Linked DNA regions of Macaca fascicularis. The main gene of each other region encodes a partner of the protein of the gene in region 2 in a complex. Links are inferred from orthologs where the notes say so. Each region holds a gene or a part of one and is shown on either strand. Other genes may lie near its edges.

Region 1 (15,337 bases), on a different chromosome or scaffold from region 2:
TAAGTTGTATGAATTTTAAGTTTCCCATTTTATTGATCAGTAAGATTTTCAGAGACTAGAGTAAGAGACAGAATGAGGGGGCAGAGCCATGGAAGGATTCCAACAGCTGGGCAATACCCTGAGGTGGGGCGATCTATTACAGCAACATTTCATACATGTACAGGTATGAAAGATTACATTTTCCAAAGATGGCCACTAGCCTATCTCCCATCCCACATGGCCTTCTATAATGTGATCTTGACACTCCCATCATAAGATATAGTGGTCTATGCACTTTCTCCTTGAATCAGGTAGATTCTGACTCTCCTGTAACTTAAGAGAATGCCGCTGAAGCAATGCTGCATGACTTCAGAAGCCAGGTCAGAAAAGGCAATGAAGTTTCTGTCATGTTTGCTAAAACACTTTCTGGAGCCCTAAGCTGTCATTAAAAAGTAGTGATGGCTCAGGCCTATAATAATCCTAGCACTTTGGGAGGCCAAGGTGGGTGGATCACCTGAGGTCAGGAGTTCGAGACCAGCCAGGCCAATATGGCAAAACTCCGTTTCTACTAAAAAATACAAAAATTAGCCGGGCATGGTGGCACATGCCTGTAATCCCAGCCACTCAGCAGGCTGAGGCAAGAGAATTGCTTGAACCCAGGAGATAGAGGTTGCAGTGAGCTGAGACTGCACCACTGCACTCCAGCCTGGGCAACAGAGAGAGTCTCTGTCTCAAAAATTTAAATTTAAAAAAAAAAAATTTTTTTTTTTAAGTCATACACTATTCTGAGGCTGCTACATTCTGAGAAAGCCCAAACCATAAGGAGAGGTCACTTACAGATGCTCCATTAGCAGTTTTAGTCCTTGAGTCCTCCCAAGCTACGTCTCATGTCAGACATGAGAGTCAACACTACAGATCATCTCTCACCCCGCTGTCAACACTCGGCCTTAATGTCTTCCCAAATGAACCAGAGTCACGGTGGAAGGCAGGCAAGTCCTGTCCAAATTCCTGACCCACAGTATCCATGAACATAACAAAATAATTTTTTAAGTAGCTAAATTTTCGGGTAGTTATGCAACAGTAATTTAAATATGCATTCAAAAAAATCAGTATGCACTGGTCCTCTAATATTAATCCCATCATCTTATGTGAAAGAATAAGTGTGCTGTATTTTTGGTTTTTATTCTAATGTACACATACATAGCCTGTAAAACTTTGGGTTCAAAATTTGATACATATACAAAATAAATTTTTAATGAACCCTTATTAAATGGACTGGAATTATTAATCCCTATACCTGGGGGAAGGGTAAGAAAGACAAAGTTATCTATAATAGCTCAGAGATTTCCAGCTTTGATGAGAGATTAAAAGTTAGTATCACTGCCATACCAGAGAAGCAAGTAAGATGGTGGAAAAAGGAGAGGTAATGAGATCGGCTTTAGAGATATCTACAGATCACATATCCCTTCAAATACTTCTAGTAGGCACATATATACGAATATAAACTCAAATGGAGAGTCTAAATTATAGACAACATGTAACACACAATAGATACACATTGGCATATAACACATGTGTATCTGTGTCAATAAAATAAACATTTTAAAATTTGAAAAAAAAAGTACAGAGTTGGAATCATTAACAAATGCGTGGGAGAAAAATGAGATTGTACATAGAGAAGGAAGACTGAAGGCAGGATATCTGGGAACAACTTTGAGAGTCATATGAAGGAAAATGAACCCATGAAAGAGACTCATTTATTCATCCACTCATCAAATTTTTTTTGAGGCTAGGTGCACTGGCTTATGCCTATAATCCCAACACTGTGGGAGGCCAAGGCAGGCAGATCACTTGAGACCAGGAGTTCAAGACCAGCCTGGCTAACATGGAGAAAACCCATCTCTACTAAAAATACAAAAATTAGCCAGGCATGGTGGCACCCGCCTATAGTCCCAGCTACTAGGGAGGCTGAGGCAGGAGAATCGCTTGAACCCAGAAGGTAGAGGTTGCAGTGAGCCAAGATCATGCCACCGCACTCCAGCCTGGGTGACAAGAGTGTGACTCTGTCTCAAAAAAAAAAAAAAAAAAGTGATATGAATATTCCTGACAAAGACCTGAAGAGGTTAGGGAAGACTTCCCAAAAGCTGCGCAGAGGCCAGGTGCAGTAGCTCATGTCAGTAATCCCACCACTGGAAGGCCAAGGTGGCAGGCACACTTGAAACCAGGAGTTCGAGACCAGCCTGAGCCACAAAGCGAGACCCCCGTCTCTAAAATTGTCTTTAAAAAGCTGGTCAGGCACAGTGACTCACGCCTGTAATCCCAGCACTTTGGGAATCCGAGGCAGATGGATCACGAGGTCAGGAGTTTGAGACCAGCCTGGCCAGCACGGTGAAACCCGTCTCTACTAAAAATACAAAAATTAGATAGGCATGGTGGAGCACGCCTGTAATCCCTGCTACTCAGGAGGCTGAAGCAAAGAATCACTTGAACCTGGGAGGCGGAGGTTGCAGTGAGCCAAGATCGCACCACTGCACTCCAGCCTGGGCCGACAAAGGGAAACTCCATCTCAAAAAAAAAAAAAAAAAAAAAAAAAGCTGAGCAGAGACCTCATGTTATAAACAGGAGTAATCAGGCAAAAAGGAAGGGAAAAAGGTAGGAGGAGTCAAGAAAGAACCCTACCGAATAGAAAAAACCAAATTGTGCAAAAGACCCCATAATGCAAGATAGGATGGCATATTCAAAGAATGACAGAAGGTCAATGTAGCGGAAGCGCAGAGTGTGAAGTTGGAAGTGGAATAAGAAGAGTTTGGCCTTTATCAAGAGATTTGAGTTTAGCAGGGTTGTGGCTAGGTCACATTTTCGTTTCTGAAAGATCCCTATGGCCAGTGTGGAGAATGGATTGGAAGTACACAAATCAGTTAGGAGTAATCTAGGCAAGGGATGGCAGCAACATGAACTAGAATGATGGTGAAGGGGATAGAGAAGTGACCAGATTTGACGTATTTAGGAGACAGAACCAACAGGGCTTGGTGACTGATTAGATATGGAGGTGAAAGAGAGGAGTCAAAAATGATGGCCAGGTTTTTGATTTCAACAACAGAGGGTACAACAGTTGTACCTCAGTGTCCATTGGAGACTGGTTTCAGGACCTCCCATAGATACCAAAACACAGATGCTTAAGTCCCTGACATGAAATGGCACTGTTATATACCCTAGGCACATCCTCCTGTATCCTTTAAATTATCTCTAGATTACTTATAATACCTAATACAATGTAAATGCTATGTAAAGAATTGTTTACTTGTAATGTTTATGGAATAATGACAAGAAAAAAAGTCTGTACATTTTTACAAGGGCACAATTTTTTTCTAATATTCTCTTTTTTGTTGAGACAGGGCCTTACTGTTACCCAGGCTGAAGTGCAGTGGTGTGATCACAGCTCACTGTAGCCTCAAACTCTTAGGGCTCAAGCAATCCTCCCACCTCAGTATCCCAAGTAGCTGGGATCACAGGTACACGCCACCATGCCCAGCTAATTTTTAAATTTTTTTGTAGAGATGAGGTCTCCCTATGTTGCCCAGGCTGGTCTCAAACTCCTGGCCTCAAGCTTTTTAATATTTTCAATCCAAGATTAATTGAATATACAGATGTGAAACCTACAGATACAGAGGGCCAACAGTGCCCTTCACCGAGACAGAGAACACAGGAGGCAGTGACTTTGGGAGGGGAATAGCAAAAGAAAATAATTAGCTCAGTTTGGGCAGTGACAAGGTGAAGTAGCCTGGGAGATACCCTAGTTGGCCAGTGGCAGTTAGATACCAGGGCTTTTAAACTAGAAGTATACATTCAGAAGTCATCCACATACAAATGGTAACTAAACAATGTAAAATGGATGAGATCACCCAAAGAGAATGTGAACAGGAAAGAAAATGAGAACAAAAGTCAGATAAGAAGAATCAAGTGGAAGTGATGTGGCTAGAAAGCTGAGTGAGTTTCCAGGAAGATGTCATCAATAGTTTTGAAGACCACAGGGTTTAGATAAGATTTTTAAAATATCCATCTCATTTATCAATTGAGAAGTCACTGTGAATCTTAGAGCTATCTTAATGCAGTAGCATGAGTAGAAACATATTGTAATCAGTTGAAAAGGACATGAAAGATGAAAATTAGAAACAAGGACAGCTTATTATTTTTATGTTTGGCTGTGAATGAAAGGAGAAAGGTAAAATACTAGAAGAAAAAGGAAAAAATGAAAAGTTTAACTTGTTTCCATGTGGATGACAGAAATCTGACATTTTCACATAGTGGCTGAAAACTGATGAGGACATTATCTAATAAACATTTCAGAGGACATGGACAAGAATAAAATGTAGGCTCACTGCTAAAGCAACTATGATAAACTCTTTTTTCCACGGGATCATTATACATTGCAAAACTAGTACAAATCACCACTATGGTGGTCACTTGGCATCATCTAGCAAAATGTTAAAGGTGTGTATCATTTGACGTGACAATTTTATATGTAGAAATGCATCCCACAGACATACTTGGGCAAATTATATGTACAAGATTATTCATTTACAGCACTGAACCCGAAAATGACTAGAAATAAATCAAATATCCATCAAGAGACTACTTAAGTTATGGTACATCCACACAAACTAAGTAACTGGGGGAGTGGGCGAAGGGGCGGGGGCGATGCTTTCTGTGTACTGATACAAAAATCTAGATACATTAAGCAAAATCTAAAAGTGGAGAAAAGTGTGAATATTACTTTCTGTCTTTAAAAAAGGAGAAAAATCCCATTTATATTTGCTCAAATATGCATAAAGAAACTGTGGAGGCTGGGCGCAGTAGCTCACACCTGCAGTCCCAGCACTTTGGGAGGCTGAGGCAGGTGAATCACCTGAGGTCAGGAGCTTGAGATCAGCCTGGCCAACGTGGAGAAACCCTGTCTCTACTAAAAATACTACTATTAGCTGGGCATGTTGGTGCACGCCTGTAATCCCAGCTACTAGGGAGGCTGAGGCAGGAGAACTGCTTGAACCTGGGAGACGGAGGTTACAGTGAGCCAAGATTGCACCACTGCACTCAAGCCTGGGCAACAGAGCAAGACTGTCAAAAAAAAAAAAAAAAAAAAGAAACTGCGGAGTGATTAAAATCTATTGTAACAGTAGTTACCCACTGTGGAGAGTTCAAACTGGGCAGATGGTGGGTAAGAAGGAGACCTGACACTTTAATTTTTTTTTTTTGAGACAGGGTCTCACTTTGTTCTTGGCTCACAGCAGTGTCAACTTCCAAGGCTCAAGTGATCCTCCTGCCTCAGCTCCCCAAGTAGCTGGGACTATAGGTGAGCACCACCACACCCAGCTAATGTTTCCATTTCTTATAGAGAGGGGGTCTCCCCTGTTGCCCAGGCTGGTCTTGAACTGCTGAGCTCAAGCGATCCACCCACCTCAAGCTCCCAAAATGCAGGGATAACATGCGTGAGACACTGTACCAGCCACCCCACTTTAACGTTTTTAAACTTTCTGGCTTGTGAGCTGAGAATGTATTACCTAGCCAAAAATTATGCTTTAAAAAATCTTTTTTTCGAATTTTTCTTCTACTGAGATAACAGTTAAAAAGAACAAGTACTATAATGATGCTAATAAATTTCTAGAACACAAGATATAAATGAGACAAGTTTAAACAGCTTTAAAAGTTTAAGTTTTTGGCTGAGCACAGTGGCTTACGCCTGTAATCCCAGCACTTTGGGAGGTTGAGACAGGCAGATGGCTTGAGCTCAGGAGTTTGAGAACAGCCTGGGCAACATGGCCAGACCCTATCTCTCAAAAAAAATTGTTTAAAAAGTTTAAGCTTTTGCTTCAATTTTTTCCATCTCATTTATCAGAAGTAGCTGAGGGAATAAAGAGAGGAGATGTAAGGGGTGGCCAAGGAATTGAGAGCTAGAAGAAAATAAGATTTGCATTAGTAGATATGGAGAATAGAAAAGGCAGCTACGAAAATACACTAGATTCAACTAAGAATTCTGTTTTTTTTTTTTTTTTTTTTTTTTTTTTTTTTCAAGACAAGAGTCTTACTCTGTCATTCAGGCTGTGGTGCAGAGGCGCAATCTCAGCTCACTGCAACCTCTGCCTCCTGGGCTCAAGCGATGTGGCCTCAGCCTCCCGAATAACTGGGATTACAGGCGCGCGCCATCACACTCGGCTAATTTTTGTATTTTTAGTAGATGCGGGATTTCCCCCATGTTGGTCAGGCTGGCCTCAAACGATCTGCACGTCTCGGCCTCCCAAAGTGCTGGTGGGAGCCATCGCGCTCGGCCACTACTAAGAATTCTATATGCGCAAAGAAACAGATTTTTTTTTTTTTTTTTTTTTTTTTTTTGAGACGGAGTCTCGCTCTGTCGCCCAGGCTGGAGTGCAGTGGCGCGATCTCGGCTCACTGCAAGCTCCGCCTCCCGGGTTCACGCCATTCTCCTGCCTCAGCCTCCCGAGTAGCTGGGACTACAGGTGCCCACAACCGCGCCCGGCTAATTTTTTGTATTTTTAGTAGAGACGGGGTTTCACCGTGGTCTCGATCTCCTGACCTTGTGATCCGCCCGCCTCGGCCTCCCAAAGTGCTGGGATTACAGGCGTGAGCCACCGCGCTCGGCCGAAACAGATATTATACATTGGTCCAGTGTAGCAGAATACATATCATCTGAGAACTGTGACATTGTGAGAACTGTGACACTGTGAGAAGAGGAAATTTAAACGCCATCCTTTAAGACAATTTACTTTGACTTACAAACAGCATGAAGAAATGTCAGACTAAACCGAGTCCCCCCACCCTCCCCCCGATATTCTCTGTCCCGATATATTTCCAGGGCCTTCCACACTGCCTGACACAGGCTGACATTCAACACTTCAGCTATTCAGTAAGTCGACTGTGGCTTTAAGGAAAAATTTTAAAGGGTGCTCTTTGCTTCAAATTCAAAACCACGGAATTTATCTTACGGTTCTGCACGCTACTTCACTACAGGAAGCGAGGATCAGATCTAAGGGAACGAGAAAGTGCAGAGAGCAGCAGTGAACCTAACCGGGAACATTAACGCTGTGTTCCCTGCACCCTCTGCCTCTCCCTACCCCAGTTTCGTTCCCGGCCTGAAAGGTGTGGGAACAAGGCTAGGGACTGTCCGGCCGGCGGGAGGGAAGGCCCCAATCATCAATCCAATCAGTTCCCCAAGCTTCCCTGCTGGACCGCCGTGGCATGTGTTTCACCTACCCTCATCCGCGTCGTACATATTGCCAAACGGTTCCCGAGCTCCTAACTCGAAATCAAAGACAAAAAGCGCGCAGAAGCCACCAGCGCCGGGAGCTAAAGACCAAGTAACTTCCGTCTCCGACGTTCCCAGAATACTGTGCGTCTCACACAAGAGGCCGCCCACAGGGACGCCAATGTTAGGATCTGCGCCTGCGCAAATTGTAGGGCAAGCTTGGGCGGGAGTTGGGTTGCACACGCGCAAATTGTGGGCCGCCGCTGCCGGTGGCTGATTGAGAGGACAGCTCCCGCAATCTGCTGTCGCATCCGTCCCGTTAATGTTTTATTTCTGCTTGTTTTTCAATGTCGTTGCACAAATAACGACACCTGAAAACAAAGCCAAGTATACTTATTAATAAAAAGTGCTCGTTCTGTGAATCCGCGACATTGGGATGCTCAATTGATTTGCCTTTATAAAGACCAAAACACGAAGCAATTTTTATTTTTATTTATTTATTATTTTTTGAAATGGAGTCTCGTTCTGTTGCCCAGGCTGGAGTGCAGTGGAGCGATCTCGGCTCACTGCAACCTCCGTCTCCCGGGTTCAAGCGATTCTCCTGCCTCGGCCTCCCAAATAGCTGGGATTACAGGCGCGCGCCACCACGCCCGGCTAATTTTTGTATTTTTAGTAGAGACGGGGTTTCACCACATTTGCCAGGCTGGTCTCGATCTCAGGTGATCCGCCCGCCTCGGCCTCCCAAGGTGCTGGGATTAGAGGCGAGCTGCCCGCTCGCCTACCGTTCCAGCCACGCGCCCGGCCAGAAGCTCCGTTTTGTTTTGTTTTGTTTGAGACGGAGTTTCGCTCTGTCGCCCAAGCTTGAGTGCAGTGGCGCGACCTCGGCTCACTGCAAGCTCCGCCTCCCGGGTTCACGCCATTCTCCTGCCTCAGCCTCCTGAGTAGCTGGGACTACAGGCGCCCGCCACCACGCCCGGTTTATTTTTTGTATTTTTAGTAGAGACAGGGTTTCACCGTCTTAGCCAGGATGGTTTCGATCTCCTAACCTCATGATCCGCCCGCCTCGGCCTCCCAAAGTGCTGGGATCACAGGCGTGAGCCACCGCGCCCGGCCCGGAAGCTCCTTTTTAAATGTGATTTATTACGGGCGGCTTGGGCTAGCAGTGAGGCGTTAAGCCTGAAAGTGAAAAAACTCAAAACGCTCATCGCTCTCTTCTGCCCATCTAGCTCAATCCTCCAGTGCCTCCAATGCCTTTGCTATAGCTTTAAGTAGGTTATCAGTCTCGGCGCTTAAATCGCGAGAACTCACGAGATTAGACGCAAAACTAACCAGGACAGCTCCCAAGTACCCACTCGCTTTCGTCTCGGTTCTAACACGCGCGTCGCCTCGGGCCCTAGTACGCGTGCGCGCTTGTGACTCCGCCCCTTTGCCTGGAGCTATTTCCTCATGCTGCCCGCTCGCCTGCAGTTCAGGCTGCTGAGCCTTTTCTTTCGTGGATTCGCTCCCACGGCAGCGCGCCATGGCCTCCGGGAGCCGCTCTTGGGGAGGAGGCGCGCTGCCGCCTCCTCCTTCCAGCACTCATCGAGTCTGGGACGCGAGCTTCCTTATGACCCCGTGGACACGGAGGGCTTTGGAGAAGGTGCTGACATGCAGGAGCGTTTTCTGTTCCCGGAGTACATCCCGGAGCCGGAGCTGGAGCCCACCCGCGAAGAGCAGCTGCAGGAGCTCCAGCAACAGCAGGAGGAGGAGGAGCAACAGAGGCAGCAGCGGCGGGAGGAGCGGCGACAGCAAAACCTACGGACCAGGCCCCGGGAGCACCCGGTCGTGGGGCACCCGGACGCGGCAGTGCCGCCCAGCGGCGTGAACTGCTCGGGCTGCGGGGCAGAGCTGCACTGCCAGGACCCCGGCGTGCCCGGCTACCTGCCCTGCGACAAGTTCCTCCGCACGGCGGAGGCAGACGGCGGGCTGGCGCGGACCGTGTGCCAGCGATGCTGGCTGCTGGTGCACCACCGGCGCGCTCTACGCCTGCAGGTGAGCCGCGAGCAGTACCTGGAGCTGGTGAGCGCCGCGTTGCGGCCGCCGGGGCCTTCCCTGGTTCTCTACATGGTGGACCTGCTCGACCTGCCCGACGCCCTGCTGCCCGACTTGCCCGCGCTGGTGGGCCCCAAGCAGCTGATCGTGCTGGGAAACAAAGTGGACCTCCTGCCCCAGGATGCTCCTGGCTACCGGCAGAGGCTGCGGGAGCGACTGTGGGACGACTGTGCCCGGGCCGGGCTCCTGCTGGCCCCTGGCCACCAAGGGCCACAGATCCCCGTCAAGAACGAGCCACAGGACGGGGAGAATTCGAATCCGCCGAACTGGTCCCGCACGGTGGTCAGAGACGTGCGACTGATCAGCGCCAAGACCGGCTATGGAGTGGAAGAGTTGATCTCTGCCCTTCAGCGCTCCTGGCGCTACCGTGGGGACGTCTACTTAGTGGGCGCCACCAACGCCGGCAAATCCACTCTCTTTAACACGCTCCTGGAGTCCGATTACTGCACCGCCAAGGGCTCCGAGGCCATCGACAGAGCCACCATCTCCCCTTGGCCAGGTGAGTTTTAGGAGGCTCTCTCCCTCTTCGTTTTCTGACAAGGTGGACGTCTGGTCCTAGCTGAGGCACCGACTACATCCTCCCTTAATGTCCACTACGGGCTGCCGGTACCCTTCCCTTTACAAATTCTCTCCCCACTCTGGTCATACCTCTCTTCTGTGTCAGCTTACTGCTAGGAAAAATTCAGGATGTGTTGTAGTAATTTTCTAATTACAGTGTTTATGGAGCACTTCTCTGTTCCCAGTCGCTAGGCACTGGAGATAGACCAGGGAACAAAACAAAGTTCCTGTTCTGGAGATCTGCTTTGTAACTTCTTTGTATATTGTTTCAGAAAGTGTGCGCCCTTTTTACTGTCTGAACCTAATGAAATTTGTGGGTTTTTTTGTTTGTTTTGGTTTTGAGACAGAGCCTCACTCTGTCGCCTAGGCTGGAGTTCAGTGGCGTGAGATCTCAGCTCACTGCAACCTCCTCCTCCGGAGTTAAAGAGATTCTCCTCCCTCAGCCTCCTGAGTAACGGGGATTACAGGCACACGCCACTATGCCCAGCTAATTTTTGTAATTTTAGTAGAGACGGGGTTTCACCATGTTGGTTAGGCTGTTCTCTAACTCCTGACCTCGTGATCCGCCCGCCTCGGCATCCCACAGTGCTGGGATTACAGGCGTGAGCCGCCGCACTTGGCCTAATTTTTGTATTTTTAGTAGAGATGGGGTTTCACCATGTCGGTCAGGCTGGTCTCGAACTCCTGGCCTCACGTGATCTGCCCACCTTGGCCTCCCAAAGCGCCGAGATTACAGGTAAGCACCACCATGCCCAGCTAATTTTTGTATCTTTGGTAAAAACAGGGTTTCACCACGTTGGCCAGGCAGGTCTCCAACTCCTGACCTCAAGTGATCTACCCACCTCATCCTCCCAAAGTGCTGGGATTACAGGTGTGAGCCACCACTCCTGGCTCATTAGTGCAATTTGATGTGTGGCTTCGCTGGGCTCAGTGGCTCACATCTGTAATTCTAGCTTTTTTTTTTTTTTTTTTTGAGAGGGAGTCTGGCTCTGTCGCCCAGGCTGGAGTGCAGTGGCCGGATCTCAGCTCACTGCAAGCTCCGCCTCCCGGGTTTACGCCATTCTCCTGCCTCAGCCTCCGAGTAGCTGGGACTACAGGCGCCCGCCACCTCGCCCGGCTAGTTTTTTTTTGTATTTTTTAGTAGAGATGGGGTTTCACCGTGTTAGCCAGGATGGTCTTGATCTCCTGACCTCGTGATCCGCCCGTCTCGGCCTCCCGAAGTGCTGGGATTACAGGCTTGAGCCACCGCGCCCGGCCGCTTTTTTTTTTTTTTTTTTTTTTTTTTTTTGAGACAGAGTCTCACTCTGTCGCCCAGGTTGGAGTGCAGTGGTGTGATCTCACCTCACCGCAACCCTTGCCTCCCGGGTTCAAGCAATTCTCCTGCCTCAACCTCCCGAGTAGCTGGACTACAGGCACACACCACCACACCCAGCTAATTTTTTGTATTTTTAGTAGAGAGGGGGGTTTCACCATGTTGGCCAGGATGGTCTGGAACTCCTGACCTCAAGTGATCCACCCGCTTGGGACTCCCGAAGTGCTGGGATTACAGATGTGAGCCACCACGCCCAGCCAGGTTTAAATTTAAGTTTACAAAACTGACTGCCCTATTTGTTCCCTTGAAACCAGAGTTTCATTTAGTAAGCTGCTCTTCTCTGTCTTGCACTTTGAATTTTACACAAATATTACTTTTATACTGAATGGTAATGTGATGAAAATTGAAAGAAATCGGGCCTATAGATTTTGGATTCAAATTCTGGTTTCCCCTGTGAGCTAATCTCTTAACCTATTTCCTCATTTGTAAAGTGTCAGTAATTTTATGTTTTATTACAGTAACCGACACAGTGTAGATCTTCAAAAATGTTCATTTTCTTCCCCCTTATTCCCTTTTCTAAAGATGTATTTATTCTGTGTATTTCAGGTACTACATTAAACCTTCTAAAGTTTCCTATTTGCAACCCAACTCCTTACAGAAGGTTTAAAAGACATCAAAGACTTAAAAAAGATTCAACTCAAGCTGAAGAAGATCTTAGTGAGCAAGAACAAAATCAGCTTAATGTCCTGAAAAAGCATGGTTATGTCGTAGGTAAGCATCCTCTATGGGAAAACCCTGGTTGGTATTATGCTAAAATTCTTTGTTAAGCAACGTGAAATACGGTTGTCCAAGGCTAGCCAGTTTTTGTGGGGAGAGACTGCCTTCCTCGTTCTGCAACAAAGAGGCCTTTTAGCACTCAGGCTACTATTTGGAAACCCAGAGCGGTACAGGTAGTAAAAGTTTTTACTCCATGCAGCAGCTTTAGATTAGATTGTCTGTCTTTCCTTGGTATATCTTTTCAGGCTTTCTTTAAAACAGTTTGATTTCCACACACACTCACCCCTGCCACTCCATGTACACCGCCAGACACACACTTGATGATTGCAAGAGTTTGACTCCCATTGCTTTTTGGAAGAAAAAAAAGTATCATTGTTGTCTCACTTCCCTACACTGTAATCTTAGTAACTTGTTTGAGGGAAACATAAAAATTATGTCTGGAGTCAAAAGTATTAAAGGAGTGACTGATAACCTTACTATAACTTGTTCTAGGAAGGGTTGGAAGGACATTCTTGTATTCAGAAGAACGGAAGGATACAGTTCCCTTTGAGTTTGATGCTGATTCACTTGCCTTTGACATGGAAAATGAACCTGTTATGGGTACGCACAAATCCACCAAACAAGTAGAATTGACTGCACAAGATGTGAAAGATGCCCACTGGTTTTATGACACTCCTGGAATTACAAAAGAAAACTGTGTATGTATTTGGTTTCCTTTAGAAACATTTACTTTCTTTTTCTTTTTTAATGGGTTTATATTGCTTGCTGCTCATATATAGCCAATTTATCAAGACAGGGGAATTGCAATAGAGAAAGAGTGTAATGCATGCAGAGCCAGCTAAATGGGAAACTGGAGTTTTATTACTAGTCATATCAGCCTCTGAAACATTTACTTTCAATTGTACAAGTACCGCTGTCTTAATTGGCAGAAAACAGGAAAAGAAGTATACTTCCATTTTAGACTCAGTTCTGATTCATTCATAAAAGCTGTTTAAGGGTGAATCTGTATGCCCTCAAGTTCTCTGTTCCATTTGATAGACTTCATTGCTGACAACCAACTTATTTCTTATCATTGTGATTGTTACCTTAGTTAGGGAAACATTTACAGAAGCCTAGGTTTTGAGATTGGAAAAAAACATAAATATCACTGAAGTCCACCTCCCTAGTTCCTGCTTGAATTACCCCTATAACATATCCATCAAGGGGTCCTCCATCTTGAACTGACAGGAGTGACTCACCATTAACTGAAACTGTGCCCCGTCACCTTCCAAGGTAACTCATTTGGGTCTTTGACCTTCTCTTTATATTGAGTGTACTGAGCTGAACAGTCTCCCTGTAACATGCACCCATTGTTCCCTAAAGCCATATGGGACTAACGTAATACCTATTTCCCTTGCCAGACTTTGAAATATTTTAAAGTGTAACATCCCATCTCTTCTTCACCTATCCCTCCCTTTTCTTCTCTTTCATTAGTTCATCCAGCAAACATTGAGCATTTACTGTGCTGACAATCTGGATTATTTGTCTTCATTTCCTACAGCTGTGCTCCCTGAGAAACAGGCTATTCATTGACCCAGGCCTCTTCAGAATGTTTTCTATGTTTGTTCTTAAAGTTTGACACTGAGAACGCAGTGCTCTCAGGTGAGCATGATTTAGAATAGCATTAACTCCAGCTGGGCACAGTGGCTCACACCTGTAATCCCAGCACTTTGGGAGGCACAGGCAGGCAGATCACAAGGTCAGGAGATCAAGACCATCCTGGCTAACACGGCGAAACCCCGTCTCTACTAAAAATACAAAAATAGCCAGGCATGGTGGCAGGCGCCTGTAATCCCATCTACTGGGGAGGCTGAGGCAGGAGAATGGCATGAACCCAGGAGGCAGAGCTTGCAGTGAGCTGAGATTGCGCCACTGCACTCCAGTCTGGGTGACATAGCGAGGCTCCTTCTCAAAAAAAAAAAAAAAAAAAAGAATAGCATTAACTCTACCTGTCTTGTTCCTATGCCTCTCTTTAATCCAACTGCTCATGGACAACTTTGGGACTCATAGGTAACTTTGACTTTGTCTTGTTAAATTCAGCCTATATCTTACTCTGTTAAATATTCATTAAATCTCATTACTTTCCCTTGCCTTGCCTTTGCGTTGCAGTTTGGATCTTCATTCAGATCATTGATTGACTCAAATGTGCATCCAGGATACAGCCTCACAAGAGATTCATTAATCACTTCCTTTGAATCTGGTTACTGACCAGTTTCTGATTATTCTAATTATCTCTGTGTCTCCCTACAAAACCACATTGGTTTCTTAGGTACTTTTCTTGGCCTTGTCAGTAACACTTACAGTTACATTCTCAGAATTGTATTCTATTTGGTGTCCCCTGTCACTGAATCATACAGACCTTTTAACTTTTATTGCCCTCCTAGAATAATTGCTAATGCCATCTTTTCTTCCTTAGCAGTCCAAAAGTTCAGAACTGCTTTCTAATAATATTCTATCACTTTAGCTTAATGAACTAATTCTTCCTCCCCACAACTTTTTTTTTGAGACGGTCTCCCCCAGGCTAGAGTGCAGTGGCGCAATGATCTTGGCTTACTGCAACTTCTGCCTCCTGGGTTCAAGCAATTCTCCTGCCTCAGCCTCCCAAGTAGCTGGTTTTAGAGGCATGTGCCACCACACCCGTCTACTTTTTGTATTTTTACTAGAGATGGTTTCACCAGGCTGGTCTTGAACCCCTCACCTCAGGTAATCCACCCACCTCGGCCTCCCAAAGTGCTAGGATTACAGATGTGAGCCACCACGCCCAGACTAATTCTTCCCTCTCAGATGCTGTTAGATCAGGCATAGCAGTTACTTAAGTCATATACCCTCTATGAAAGAGTTGTGTCAGAAAGGCAAGAATTTGCAAAATATTCTAGACAGCAGAATGAGAACCCCAAATTTTTAGATATAAATGTCTGTCAGCACAGGTAGTTTTCTTCTCTGTTAGTTTACAGATACACTTATTTGCTGTCTTAAACCAGGATTTCCCAAACTGAACCAAGTATCTCTGTTGTGAATGGAAGTATTAAGACTCAGGCTGCGCACCGTGCCTTACGCCTATAGTCCCAGCACTTTGGGAGGCGGAGGTGGGAGGATTGCTTGAGCCCAGGAGTTTGAGACCAGCCTGGGCAACATGCCAAAACTGTATCTCTACTAAAAATACAAAAAATTAGCTGGGCATGGTGGTGCATGCCTGTAATCCCAGCTACTCAGGAGGCTGAGGCACAAGAATCACTTGATACACTTATTGGGAGGCAGAGGTTGCAGTGAGCTGAGATCTTGCCACTGCAGCCCAGCCTGGGCAACAGAGGGAAACCCTGTCT
Region 2 (15,174 bases):
GGAATGTGTAAGAAGAGGTTTGCAGGTAAGATCAAGTTTGGTTTTAGGGAGGGCATAGTGGCTTATGCTGTAATCCCAGCACTTTGAGAGGCCTAGGCTGGAGGATGGCTTGAGGTCAGGAGTTAGAGACTAGCCTGGACAGCACAGTGAGATATCCTGACTGTATTAAAAAAAAAAAAAAAAAAAGGTTTAGTTTTTGATGTTATATTTTGAGATGCCTACTGGCCCCTGAGTGAAGAAGTTGAGTAAGAAGTGACCACTGAGGTAGAAAGAAAACCCAAAGAGTCCTGAAAGCGACATGAACAAAGGCTACTCAGGAAGTGGGAGTGATCAATTCTGTCAAAAGCTTACAGGGTATAGCAAGATAAGGACTGAAAATTGCCCACTGTATTCAGAAAGTCACTGGACCTTGACAATAGCAGTTTTGGTGGAGTCATAATAGGGAAAGCATGACTGGAGTGGGTGTCATATGGGAGGAGAGAAATCAGAGACAGTGAAGAGAACCAAGTCTTCTCTTTACTGAGAAATTTTGCTACAATGACCAGAAAGGTAGATTGGAAGCTAGAAAGGGGTGGGAATCTGAACAGATGGGAATATCAATAGACCATAGGTCTGGCGAAGTTGAAGAAATGATGGGGTGAGGTATTAGAGGGAGTGAACTCAAAAGAGGAGGTGGTGGTCAGAGGCTGATGCCTGAAATGAGACTGAAGAGCTGGCATGTGGGTAAGGAAGGACAAGTCTAGCTACAACTATGAGAATGAGTGGCTGTGATGAGGTGGAGGATAAGCTCAGTGGAAAAGGAGGTCAGGGAACTGGGAGAACAGCATTATCCTGATACCAAACCCTGGTAGAGACACAACAAAAAAAGAGAATTTTAGGCCAATATCCCTGATGAACATCAATGTGAAAATCCTCGCCGGGCGCGGTGGCTCACGCCTGTAATCCCAGCACTTTGGGAGGCCGAGGCGGGCGGATCACAAGGTCAGGAGATTGAGACCACGGTGAAACCCCGTCTCTACTAAAAATACAAAAAATTAGCCGGGCGCGGTTGTGGGCGCCTGTAGTCCCAGCTACTCGGGAGGCTGAGGCAGGAGAATGGCGTGAACCCGGGAGGCGGAGCTTGCAGTGAGCCGAGATCTCGCCACTGCACTCCAGCCTGGGCGACAGAGCGAGACTCCGTCTCAAAAAAAAAAAAAAAAAAAAAAGAAAATCCTCAATAAAATACTGGCAAACTGAATCCAGCAGCACGTTGAAAAGCTTATCCACCACGATCAAGTAGGCTTCATCCCTGGGACGCAAGGCTGGTTCAACATATGCAAATCAATAAATGTAATCCATCACATAAACAGAACCAATGACAAAAACCACATGATTATCTCAAAAGATGCAGAAAAGGCCTTCGACAAAATTTAACAGCAGAAAAGGCCTTCGACAAAATTCAACAGTCTTTCATGCTAAAAACTCTCCATAAACTAGGTATCGATGGAATGCATCTCAACATAATAAGAGCTAATTATGACAAACCTACAGCCAATATCATACTGTATGGGCAAAAACTGGAAGCATTCCCTTTGAAAATCGGCACAAGACAAGAATGCTCTCTTTCACCACTCCTATTCCACATAGTATTGAAGTTCTGGCCAGGGCAATCAGGCAAGAGAAAGCAATAAAGGGTATTCAGATAGGAAGAGAGGAAGTCAAATTGTCTCTGTTTGCAGATGACATGATTGTATATTTAGAAAACCCCATCATCTCAACCCAAAATCTTAAGCTGATAAGCAACTTCAGCAAAGTTTCAGGATACAAAATCAACATGCAAAAATCACAAACATTCCTATACACCAATAACAGACAGAGAGCCAAATCATGAGTGAACTCCCAATCACAACTGCTACTAACAGAATAAAATACCTAGGAATGCAACTTACATGGGATGTGAAGGACCTCTTCAAGGAGAACTATTAACCACTGCTCAAGGAAATAAGAAAGGAAACAAAGGGAAAAACATTCTATGCTCATGAATAGGAAGAATCAATATCGTGAAAATGGCCTTACTGCCCAAAGTAATTTATAGATTCAATGCTATCCCCATCAAGCTACCACTGGCTTTCTTCACAGAATTGGAAAAAACTACTTTAAACTTCATATGGAACCCAAAAAGAGCCCACATAGCCAAAACAATCCTGGGCAAGAAGAACAAAGCTGGAGCCATCACACTACCTGACTTCAAACTATACTACAAGGCCACAGTAACCAAAACAGTGTGGTACTAGTACCACAACAGATATATAGACCAATGGAACAAAACGGAGGCCTCAGAAATAACACCACACATCTACCACCATCTGATCTTTCACAAACCTGACACACACAAGCAATGGGGAAAAGATTCCCTATTTAATACATGATGTTGGGAAAACTGGCTAGCCATACGCAGAAAACTGAAACTGGACCCCTTCCCTACACCTTATACAAAAATCAACTCAAGATGGATCAAAGACTTAAACATAACACCTAGGACCATAAAAATCCTAGAAGAAAACCTGGACATAGACATGGGCAAAGACTTCATGTCTAAAACACGAAAGCAATGGCAACAAAAGCCAAAATTGACAAATGGGATCTAATTACACTAAAGAGCTTCTGCACAGATAGAAGAAACTATCATCAGAGTGAACAGGCAACCTACAGAATGGGAGAAAATTTTTGCAATCTACCGGTCTGACAAAGGGCTAATATACAGAATCTACAAAGAACTTAAACAAATTTACAAGAAAAAAGCAAACAACCCCATCAAAAAATGGGCAAAGGATATGAACAGACACTTTTCAAAAGAAGACATCTATGCAGTCAACAGACATATAAAAAAAAAAATGCTCATCATCACTGGTCATTAGAGAAATGCAAATCAAAACCACAATGAGATACCATCTCACACCAGTTAGAATGGCAATCATTAAAAAGTCAGGAAACAACAGATGCTGGAGAGGTTGTGGAAAAATAGGAAAGTTTTTACAGTGTTGGTGGGAGTGTAAATTAGTTCAACCATTGTGGAAGACAGTGTAGCAATTCCTCAAGGATCTAGAACTAGAAATACCATTTGACCCAGCAATTCCATTACTTGGCATATACCCAAAGGATTATAAATCATTCTGCAATAAAGATACATGCATACATATGTTTATTGTGGCACTATTCACAATAGCTAAGACTTGGAACCAACCTAAATGTCCATCAATGATAGACTGGATTAGGAAAATGCAGCACATATACACCATGGAATACTATGCAGCCATAAAAAAGGATGAGTTCATGTCCTTTGTAGGGACATGGGTGAAGCTGGAAACCATCATTCTCAGCAAACTATCACAAGATCAGAAAACCAAACACCACATGTTCTCACTCATAAGTGGGATTTGAACAATGAGAACACATGGACACAGTGGGGGATCATCACACACCAGGGCCTGTGGGGGGTGGGGGGCTAAGGGAGGGATAACATTAGGAGAAATACCTAGTGTAGGTGATGGGTTGATGGGTGCAGCAAACTACCATGGCACATGTATACCTATGTAACAAAACTGCATGTTCTGTACATTTAACTCAGAACTTAAAGTATAATAATAATAATAAAGAAAGCTGAACAACTGATTTGCAACCTGGTACTCGTAGTCACTGGCCAGATCACCAGGTGGCCCATTACTCAAGACAACCACTGCAACCACAGATGCTGACCACATACTGTACCCTTCATGTGCTTTGCCCAGCCCAGCCTGCATACCTTATCCCTGATGTCAATTCCCATGCTTTGCCTAATCAAAAAGTCCCTGTCAGCTTTTGTGGGGATCAGCAGCAGAGTTCTTACTACTGTACTGTCTCCCTTGCATTTGTGGATAAACCCTGAATTAAAAGCCTCATCTGGGAAAACTGTGTAGCTGTGTTAATTTTTATTACATAGGGAGCCAAAGAGCTTGTGATCTGTAACAGCAATGTTAGTACCATAGCTACACTGCAAAGTTGATGGACCAGAGAATATTTCTAAAACATCTTGCTCATAGTAGGTACTCAAATGAGCAATTAAAATGCCAAGAGCCTGTGAGAGGATACAGGCAGAGAGGTTTAAATTACAGTTAGTTCTATCCCTATCAAATGATTTACTGTTGGGAACAGGCACCCCAAAATCTGGCCATAAACTGGCCCCAAAACTGGCCATATACGAAATCTCTGCAGCACTGTGACATATTCGTGATGGCCATGACACCCACGCTGGAAGGTTGTGGGTTTACTGGAACGAGGAAAAGGAACACCTGGCCCACCCAGGGCGGGAAAACCACTTAAAGGTATTCTTAAACCACAAACTAAAATAGCATGAGCGATCTGTGCCTTAAGGACATGCTCCTGCTGCAGATAACTAGCCAAACCCATCCCTTTATTTCGGCCCATCCCTTTGTTTCCCATAAGGCATACTTTTAATCTATAATCTATAGAAACAATGCTTATCACTGGCTTGTTGTTAATAAATACGTGGGTAAATCTCTGTAAATCTCTGTTCGAGGCTCTCAGCTCTGAAGGCTGTGAGACTCCTAATTTCCCACTCCACACCTCTATATTTCTGTGTGTATGTCTTTTATTCCTCTAGCGCCGCTGGGTTAGGGTCTCCCCGACCGAGCTGGTCTCAGCAATTTACTATTTTGATTACGAAACCATTAACCTGTGAATATATATGGGTATAATTCTAAGACATACATATAACCTCTTAAAAAGCAAACATAGGCTGGGTGCGGTGGCTCACGCCTGTAATCCCAACACTTTGGGAGGCTGAGCCAGGTGGATCACGAGGTCAGGAGTTCAAGACCAGCCTGGCCAAGATAGTAAAACCCTGTCTCTACTAAAACTTCAAAAATTAGCCAGGCATGGTGGCAGGTGCCTGTAATCCCAGTTACTTGAGAGGTTGAGGCAGGAGAATTGTTTGAACCCAGGCGGCAGAGGCTGAAGTGAGCCAAGATCGTGCCACTGCACTCCAGGCTGGGTGACAGAGTGAGACTCCGCCACCAAAAAAAAAAAAAAAAAAAAGCAAATACAATATTATACTTAGTTTTATAATGGAGAGATAGTATATGTAAAGTTTAGTAGCTTGGGCTCTGGAGCCACAATACTAGGATTTAAAAAATCCCAGTTTAACAACAGCTGTGTAACTGAGCAATTGATTAATTTCCCTGCATCTCACCTTGTACATGCAATGGGGATGATAGCACCTACCTCAAAGGGCTGTTGTGAAAACTAAATTAATATTAGCAAGTGCTTCCATAGCACATGTCACATGGAAAACAGTGTTAATACAGGAATCCAGGTGTTTTTACTTAACATCATTGTGCAATGTCATTTCCCTGAATCTCTTAAAATGTCTGAGAATATTTTAATAGCTATATTATTTGATTAAAATATGCCACAATCAACAAATTTCTTTTTCTAGCACATTAAATACACACATTTTTATTGGCAGTTCTGATCATTTCCTAAATTTTTTTTTTTTTTTTGAAATGGAGTCTCACCATGTCACCCAGGCTGGAGTGCAGTGGCACGATCTTGGCTCACTGCAACCTCTGCCTCTTGGGTTCAAGTGATTATCCTGCCTCAGCCTCCCCAGTAGCTGGGATTATAGGTGTTTGCGACCATGCCTGGCTAATTTTTGTATTTGTAGTAGAGACAGGGTTTCACCATGTTGGCCAGGCTGGTCTCAAACTCCTGACTTCAAGTCATCCACCCGCCTCGGCCTCCCGAAGTGTTAGGATTACAGGAGTGAGCCACTGCGCCCAGTGATTTCCTAAACTTATAGAAACGGAGTTACTGTGTTAAAGGATATAAAAGCACAAAACACCCATCACAAGTTGCTTTCAGTTGTTTCTCAGGATTACACTTCCATCAGCAGCTTGGTGGCATGCCTGCTTTTTAAAAGCTATGACTGAAGACAACAGCCTCCTCATTTACAAGCTATTTTGATATATAACATGCTAAATGGAGGCCTAGTATACACATCTGTTTTGAACTAAAACTTTATCAAGAATCTCATCTTATCCACTGTGAATCTCACTGTAGGACTAGAGAGGCTATAAAGGAACATTAACAAATTTGGAATTTTGCCTGAGATCACAAACCTGGACTCAATTCTGTTAACAAAATTCATTCGGTAAACAAATATTTACTAAGCCATAGCTATATATGTGTATGTGTATCTCTTTCTCTCTCTGTCTCTGTCTCAGGCACTGTTTTGGGTGCCTGGAAAACTTCAGTGAACATGGCCCTACTGAGAAGCAAAGGCTAAGAAAAGATTTATACATGCTGAGAAAAAAACAGAACAATGGTTAGATTGGTTTTGTCATTTTTTTTTTTTTTTGAGACGGAGTCTCGCTCTGTCGCCCAGGCTGGAGTGCAGTGGCCGGATCTCAGCTCACTGCAAGCTCCGCCTCCCGGGTTTACGCCATTCTCCTGCCTCAGCCTCCCGAGTAGCTGGGACTACAGGCGCCCACCACCTCGCCCGGCTAGTTTTTTGTATTTTTAGTAGAGACGGGGTTTCTATTAGCCAGGATGGTCTCGATCTCCTGACCTCGTGATCCGCCCGTCTCGGCCTCCCAAAGTGCTGGGATTACAGGCTTGAGCCACCGCGCCCGGCCTGTCATACTTCTTACTAGCTTCTCAGAAACAATACAGGTTTAGAAGCCAAACTCATAAGGATAAGGGTGGTTTAATAATACATATTTCTCCAGATTCTTTGCTATTGTGATGTAAACTGGTTGGAATTTGCACCTTGCCAACAAATTTTTGCTGAAGCACTTGCCAAACCAATTGTGGCAACTGTTAAACCAGAGGTCTGCTCCAGCATCTGGAACTGGACACAGACATACTGTGGTCATGTGTTGCTTGCTTTGGGAATTGCTTGGGAGGCTAGACTTGGGAGAATACTTACTGTGAGCCTGGCAGTTAATGGTGGATCCCAACAAAGAGGAAGTTTTCACCAACCTTTCAGTTTTGACATAAAAATGTAAATTTATAAACATAAAACTTTTTTTTATAGCCTTCAATTTTAGTATGTGATAAGCCCTTGGGAGTTAAGAATTTAACTATATCCAAGTGCCCTGATTTTTCAATTCACTGAAGGTCAGAATAAATGGCCATCATCATAATTTGGTTTACTTCTTTAGCAAATCTCTGCAGACTTAAAAATCAGTTAAACATAACTGATAGAAATGGAGCTTAAATATGGCAGTAAGTGAAGCCAACTTAAGATATATGTGGAACAGCACTATATAAGTTATTACACATTAGCTTATATTAATACAATGATGGGACTGGAATTTGGAGAGATTCAAATTGGAGAGATTCCTGGGACAGTGGAAGCAGCTGTGAGATAGGAATTCAGCAGAACTAGTTTCTAAGACAGGAGAGACAGTAAACAACAGGTCAGAAGACCCGACTGATAAGCGAGGATACAGTAAAGAAACCAGCCAGAACCAAGATGGTGACAAAAGCAGCCTTCACCACTATCATACACTAATCATAATGCATGAGCTTATGTTGTTGGCAGTGTCCAAGGGTTTGGTCCTTCTCCTCCTCAGCTTTGCCATCACAGTAAACAGTATCATTATCCATGCACTGGCTCATATTAGAGGCACAGAAAGGTAGACAGTAGTATTTTCAGACAATGGGAGTGTCCACAGAGCAGGGTTCCTAGACATTGGATTGCTTTGAGGACCTCAACCCTGCCCATTTATGGTTTTTAGTTTCTCCTCTGGAATGTATCTAAAGGAATTTAAGAAACCTTCTCCACTTGGCTCTCTTGTTTTTCTCTTTAAAGTCTACAGTTTGTAATGGTAAAGACTTAAGCAAGTTCCTGAACTCTTTCAGGACCTAAAATTCTAGTCATGTTTGAGGAGAATGCAAGCACTGTTCCTCTAAAGATGACTCATCTAACAAATATGCTGCCTCTGATCATGCCAGTTCCATCAATTCAACAGAGGGACTGAAATCTGGCACTAGGAACTTTGCAACAAAATCTGTGCCACTTGTTAAAAGTGAAAGACTTGATTTCATTCATATCTTAAAAACAACAGGGTTTTAGAAAGGACACACACGTAAGTCAAGATTCAATATTTAAACTTAAAACTCATGAAGTATCAAAACTACTAACCATTCTATAAGCACTCCTTTCAAGACGTTGACCATGTTTTCTTAGTCAGAAGGTTCAGATGACCTCAAGAATGCTAATAAAAAGAAGAAGGTAACACTGAATTAAAAATCATTAACTTTCATATACTTTGGGGACTGCCTCTGAAATGAGGCAAAATAATTAAGTGTCAATATTTAACAGTTAAGTCTATGAAAGACAGTTAACATTAAGAGACATTCTGATTTTTTAACAAAATTAAAATGAGTCTACTTGGAATATTGCCACATCTTACTTGCCAACCAACTCTACCCAAGGTCAATTAGCCCTAATAGAAGCAAGCAGCCTAACTCTACACCAGTGTGCCCAACCCAGGTGTAAACTGTCCGTTATTCAAAGGATTTCTTTTCCCATTCAGGAGAATGACAAAGGGTAAGATCCTGGGAGACAGGACTCAAAGATAGTTCTGAAAGGTGCTTCAAAAATTACACAGTGAGCCCAACCACCTCCTTTTAGTTTATATTTTATTTTATTGAGACAGGGCTGGCTCTGTCGCCCAGGCTGGAGTGCAGTGGTGCGATCTCAGCTCACTGCAACCTCTTGCCTCCCAGGTTCAAGCCATTCTCCCACCTCAGCCTCTCGAGTAGCTGGGACTACAGGCAAGAGCTACCAAGCCCAGCTAATTTATTGTATTGTATTGTGTATATATATATATACACACACACACATATACTTTGCGACAGAGTCTCGCTCTGTCGCCCAGGCTGGAGTGCAGTGGCGTGATGGCGGCTGACTGCAACCTCTGCCTCCGGAGATCAAGATATTCTCCTGCCTCAGCCTCCGAGCAGCTGGGACTACAGGCGCCCGCCACCACGCCAGGCTAATTTTTGCATTTTTAGTAGAGACGGGGTTTCACCATGTTGGCCAGGCTGGTCTTGAACTCCTGATCTCAAATGATCCACCTACCTCGGCCTCCCAAAGTGCTGGGACTACAGGCGTGAGCCACCGTGCCCGGCCAATTTATTGTATTTTTAGTGGAGACGGGGTTTCACCATGTTGGCCAGGCTGGTCTCGAACTCCTGGCCTCAAGTGATCCACCCGCCTCGGCCTCCCAATGAGCTGGGATTGCAGGCGTGAGTCACCGGGCCCGGCCCCAACCACCTCATTTTACAGATGAGGAGACCAAAGGAAGAGATTAAGCCGTAGTTCCCGGGGAAAGGGGAAAAAAGTACAAGCCAGGTTTCCAGATCTTGTGCCCCTTCACTAAATAAATCACGTCCTGTGCGGACCTAGGCTGGAAAGAAATCACTCAGCGTCCGCCCACTTAACTAACTTCCACTTACACCTGGGCGCAGGGCGAGCCCTAGCCCCACAGGAAACCCACGATTAAACGAGTGCGGAACTGCAGTGCGGCCCCGCCAGGAAGGGCCTGGAGAGAGTGGGGGACACCGCCCTGTGCCCCCAGCACCCGGTGGACAGGCTTCTTGGGCTTTCCTCTTCTTCCCCTCTTTCTTTGGGACCCCTCAGTCTGCCCACACCCCACTTTCCCCAGCCACTCGGACGCTTGCCACACACCTCAGCCCACAGATGCAGAAGCGCCTCGGCGTCGCCGACACAGTGCGCCTGCGCCTATACGTCATCGCGCTAGGGACGCTGTTGTGAGTGGAGCGAACCGGCAGTAGGCGGGCCCGGAGAGGGCCGAGGGGGCGGGGTCATAAGCCGCCCGCCGCCGGGTGGAAGGCCCCGGCCGGGAGCCGAGGAAAGGGGAGGGCTCCCCAGACAACTGGGTCCGGCGAGCAGTTGGGGACAGGTTGAGTCTGCGTGCCGGCAGGTAGGACGTGAAGGCCGGGCTAGTGTGGGGGCGGACGGGGGCGTCGGAGCAGCTGGGCGCGGTGGGGAGTGGAGAATGGGGAGGGCAGTGGCCGGGCACGGCCGGGCGCCACCGTAAGGCGCGCGGACCGGACCGACCCGCTGACGCTCCCCTGGGTGTGAGGGCCTCTCTCTGGTGGTCGCGAGCCTGACTCGTCTTTCCCGGTCGCTGCCTTTCTCTGGCTGCTGTCGAGGCCTCGGGGAGTGCACCTACCGGTCCTTCTTCCCGGGCTCGGTAGTCACGGAGAGATAATGAGGAGGAGGAGGAAAGGGCCTCACCGGTCACTTCTGAGCCTTCCAGACCACCGCTTCCGGCTCCCCCTCTAACCCCAGAGATGGAAACGATTGAATACTGAGAGATCTCTAAATTCGGCAACGGTCATTTAAAAGTGAAAGACCCCAGAAGCTTCTGAAGTGATTCCCTTTCCCCAAATCTGTTCTGTAATCTAAAGGAGCACTCTCATTATTTTTACTAGTTGAGATATGAGATTCTTGTTTTCTGTTCCTTAGGTTAAATTGTACTTCCCGAATTAAGCTCTACCTTCTTTTTTTTTTTTTTTTTTTTTTTTTTTGAGATGGAGTCTCGGTCTGTCGGTCAGGCCGGAGTGCAGTGGCGCGATCTGCGCTCACTGCAACCTCCGTCCCCTAGGTTCAAACAGTTCTCCTGCTTCAGTCTCCCTAGTAACTGGGATTACGGGCGTGCGCTACCACGCCCGGCTGATTTTCGTATTTTTAGTAGAGACGGGGTTTGTCCATGTTGGCCAGGCTGGTCCGGAATTCCTGATATCAGGTGATCCGCCCCCGTCAGCCTCCCAGAGTGCTGGGATTACAGGTGTGAGCCACCGCGCCCGACCTCATACTGCGTTTTTTTTTTTTTTTTTTTTACATCGTGTGTGTTCATGTGATCGCTTAGGAACCCAGCTCTTCCATTTAGTTCCCTCTTTCAATTTGCTTTTTTTCATCTTGCATACATTCTCTTCCTTGACCTCATCAGTTCCATTTTTGTGCACTTGATGTGTGCCAGCTATTATTCTAGACACTTGGGATACAATGGTGAACAAGTAACTAATTTTGGTTGGGGCAGAGAGACACAAATCGGTTAAGGAATAAGTACCATTTGGTGATGTGATAAAGGGTGACTAGAGGGGTTATTTTGGCCGGGGGATGTCAGAAATTGCCTTAATTTCTGCATTTAAAAACCTTCTGTATATCAGTAACAATTAACTAGGAGTTTTAATAATAAAGACACTATTCATAATGGCGTTGAAAACTGAAGTTATCTAGAAGTAGATCAACCTAAAGCTGCGTAGTCCTTTAGACAGAAAATTGTAAGGCTCTGTTGGAACACAAAAGATGACCCAAGTAAATGGTAAGATATACCGTATTCATGGATGGAAAGACTCAACAAAATGATGTCAGTTTTCCTCAATTGTACAAATTCAGTGTGATGCCAATTAAAATCACCATATTGTTTTATGGAACTTGACATGCTGAACTTAAAATTTATATGGAAAGGCAAAGGGCCAAGAATAGTGAAGTCAATTTTGAAGAAGAAGAAAAATAAGGTCTCTATCAGATACCAAAGCTTAATATAAAGTTGTAATTATTAAGGTGGTATGATATTGATTCAAGGAAAGAGAAGTAGATTCATGGAACAGAATAGAGACACTAGAAACATACGTGTTTATGATGGGAGCTTAGTATACCACTAAGTAGTATTACAAAGCAGGGGGAAAGCATAGAATATTCTAATAAAGGATGATGAAATATGTGGCATCGTTGTGGAATACAGACAGGATTAGATTCTTTCTTTCAAACTACTGACGACAGTTTCCAGATAAAGACCTAAATGTGAATGGCACAGCTGCAAGGTATTTGGAAAGAAATATAAGAGACCATTGTCTCTAGGAAAGATTTCTTTTTTGTTTGCTTTGTTAAATCTTGTTACACATAAGATTTATCATGTTAACCATTTTGAGATGTTGAGTTCAGTGACATTCACATTGTGCAACCAGCACTACTATCTATCTCCAGAACTTTTTTTTTTTTTAATCTGAGAAGGATTTCTTAAGTTACAAAAAGCACCATTGAGGTGTCATTTTATTACTCCAAATGAGAGATGATATTGGCTTGAACTAGACAAGAGTAGCAGTGAATACAGAGAAAAATGGATGGATTTTGGGGTATGTTTTGATGATAGAGAAGAGCAACTATGCATGCTTTGGATGTAGGGTAAGGGAAAAACAAGGAATCAAGGGCAACAACTGTTTTCTTGCTTCAGTTAAGAGGTAGATCATTTACCATTTACAATAAAAAAGCATTGACCATTTGGTGGATGGTGATGGAGAAGATTTGTGGAAGAAGAGTTTGGATAGAAAAAGTAAATAATTCTGTTTTGGATAGTTAAGTATGAAAGGCTTATTGGACATCTAAGTGAAAATGTTCCGATAGCTGTTGGATAGATGGGTCAGGAAAGGTCGTAGCTAGAGGTACTCTGAGATCACTGGCATATAGATATTAAGAACTGTGGTGTGTTAGAATTAGATCAGCTGTACTACACAGAAAACAAGATAATACTGGCTTAAATATGTATGTAATTGCATAGGTAGGCAGCCATGCTTTTATGGCAGCAGCTCTGTAATCATCAGGGACTTGGATTCTTCTATCTGACTGCTCTACCGTCCTTAATAAGATGCTTCATGGTAAGATGACTGCTTTAATTCAAACTGTCAGTTGCTCATTCTAGCAAGAGGGAGGAGGGAAGGAGGAAGAAAGGCGCATACCCTTCTTTTTAAGGACACTTTTCAGAAATTGCACGACACATCCACTCATATTTCATTAGCCATTTCTTAGTAAGTGCCCATCGTTAACTAGAAAGAAAGAAAGGTGATGTAGTCTTTTTTCTTATCTGTGTACCCAGCTACAATTCAGGTTTTATAAATCAGAATGAAAGCATGAAATGAAGTTTCACTCTGGCTTTTTCTACCAGGGCAATGAAACTGCTGATATGAAGATCCCAGTGACCTCCATGTTGTTAAACTTAATGGAATTTTCAAATATTTGTTTTATTTTTAAGTTATAGTCTCTTCCCTTTTACTTTCTGTGTCTTTCTTAGTCTAAAAATTTCTCCCCGTTCTCTACTTAACATCAGTGTTTCAGATTTTATGTAATCGCCATCGTAATCTTTTTTTTTTTTTTTTTTTGAGATGGAGTCTTGTTCTGTTGCCCAGGCTGGAGTGCAGGCGCAATCTTGGCTCACTGCAAGCTCCGCCTCCTGGTTTCGGCCATTCTCATGCCTTAGCCTCCCAAGTAGCTGGGACTACAGGTGCCCGCCACCACTCCTGGCTAATTTTTTGGTATTTTTAGTAGAGATGGCGTTTCACCGTGTTAGCCAGGATGATCTCAATCTCCTGACCTCGTTCGGCCTCCCAAAGTGCTGGGATTACAGGCATGAGTCACTGCGCCTGGCCCCATAATCTTAAAGGTGCTTTTAAATAGAAATTGACAAGCAGACTCTAAAATTATGTGGAAGTACCAAGGACCTAGAATAGTTCATCTTGAAAAGGAAGGACACAGCTGGAGAATTTATACTGCTAGCTTCAAGACTTACTTTAAAAACTACAGTAATCTGTAGTAATCTGTAGGGCACGGTGGCTCACACCTGTAATCCCAGCACTTTGGGAGGCCAAGGTGGGTAGATCACGAAGTTAGGAGTTCAAGACCAGCTGGCCAACGTGGTGAAACCCTGTCTCTACCCAAAATACAAAAATTAGTCGAGTGTGGTGGTGGGTGCCTGTAATCCCAGCTACTTGGGAGGCTGTCAGGAGAATTGCTTGAACCTGGGAGGTGGAGGTTTCAGTGAGCTGAGATCGGGCCACTGCACTCCATCCAGCCTGGGCAACATAGTGAGATTGTCAAAAACAAGAACAAAACAAACACAGTAACAACAACAACAAAAAACCTACAGTAATCTAAACAGTGCAGTGTTTGTATAAGGATAGATAAATAGATCGATGGAGTGGAATAGGCCCATACTTACATATTCCATTAGGGTTTTTTTGTTGTTTTTTTGAGATGTGGGTCTCACTATGTTGCCTAGCCTGGTGTTGGGCTCCTGAGCTCAAGCAGTCCTCCTGCCTCAGGCTTCTGAGTAGCTGGGATTACAGGCATGTGCCACAGATATAGTCAGTTGATTTGTGGTCTCAAGCAATCATCCCATCTTGGCCTCCCAAATCACTGGGATTATAGGCATGAGCCACCACACTTGGCCCTATGGTATACTTTTTATCGTTATTTTATAGTGTATTCCTCTATTCCCTCTACTTATAAAAAAGTAAAATTTACTGTGAAACAGTATACCAAGTTATGCTGGCAGCAACCTCATATATCTCGTATAAAGTTTAGAAATTACATGTCAGCTTTTTGAGGCATTATAAACCATCCTAAAGGCTACTGGCTAAAACATTTATTATTGCTTGCACGCTAAGGGCTGAATATGGATTTGTACCATCAGCTAGGGGCTGGCTAGTTCGATGTGGCTTCACATGCTTGGCGGCTGGTGCTGGCTGTCAGTTGGTACTTGTTGGCTTCATTAATGGGGATATTGGACATTTCTCTTGTGATCTAGCAGACTAACCTAGGCATCTTTACATGGTGTTGGTCACAGGGTTCTCAAGAGCAACAAGACAGAAGCTTCGATGTGCACGTACTTCCCAAGTCTCAGCTTGCATTATGCTTCTGTTGTCCTATGGCCAAAGTTACTCGTAAGATCAATCTAAAGTCACCGTGGGAGGGAACTACCAAAGATCATGGTTATAGGAAAAGGAATAATTTGTGGTCATTAAAAAAAAATCTGCATTTAAGACAAAAACTGTGTAAAAAAAGCAGGCAGGTATAAAAGTGAGTCACCTGGAAGTTTTAGAAATAAAAATTTTTGAAATACTCAGTGGATGGATCAAATGATAGTCTAAACACAACTAAACAGAAGATGATGAATTGGAAGGTAGATTTGGGGAAATAATCCGTAGTGCATGTCAGAGAGACAGAAAAAAATGGAAGAAGTTGAGATTTGAAGGTTAGACTTTAAAAATCTAGCATACATCTAATAGGAGTACCAGAAAGTAAAAGTTGAATGGAGGTCAAAG

The links.
Region 1: GTF2H5 (region 2) and POLR2B share a complex: the UniProt entries of both Homo sapiens proteins name them as parts of the TBP-based Pol II pre-initiation complex. The link is inferred for Macaca fascicularis from reciprocal best matches to the Homo sapiens genes GTF2H5 and POLR2B.

Annotation. Positions count from the first base shown.
Region 1 is NC_088379.1:76,890,311-76,905,647, forward strand, and holds the start of POLR2B (DNA-directed RNA polymerase II subunit RPB2), read right to left. Parts: upstream 7,352-15,337; 5' UTR 7,265-7,351; coding exon 7,246-7,264; intron 1-7,245. Other genes in the region: NOA1 (nitric oxide-associated protein 1), read left to right, coding at 8,684-9,827, 11,805-11,969, 12,468-12,673. UniProt on the Homo sapiens protein: Catalytic core component of RNA polymerase II (Pol II), a DNA-dependent RNA polymerase which synthesizes mRNA precursors and many functional non-coding RNAs using the four ribonucleoside triphosphates as substrates.
Region 2 is NC_088378.1:66,513,704-66,528,877, reverse strand, and holds the start of GTF2H5 (general transcription factor IIH subunit 5), read right to left. Parts: upstream 9,783-15,174; 5' UTR 9,737-9,782; intron 8,259-9,736; 5' UTR 8,221-8,258; coding exon 8,186-8,220; intron 1-8,185. UniProt on the Homo sapiens protein: Component of the general transcription and DNA repair factor IIH (TFIIH) core complex, which is involved in general and transcription-coupled nucleotide excision repair (NER) of damaged DNA and, when complexed to CAK, in RNA transcription by RNA polymerase II.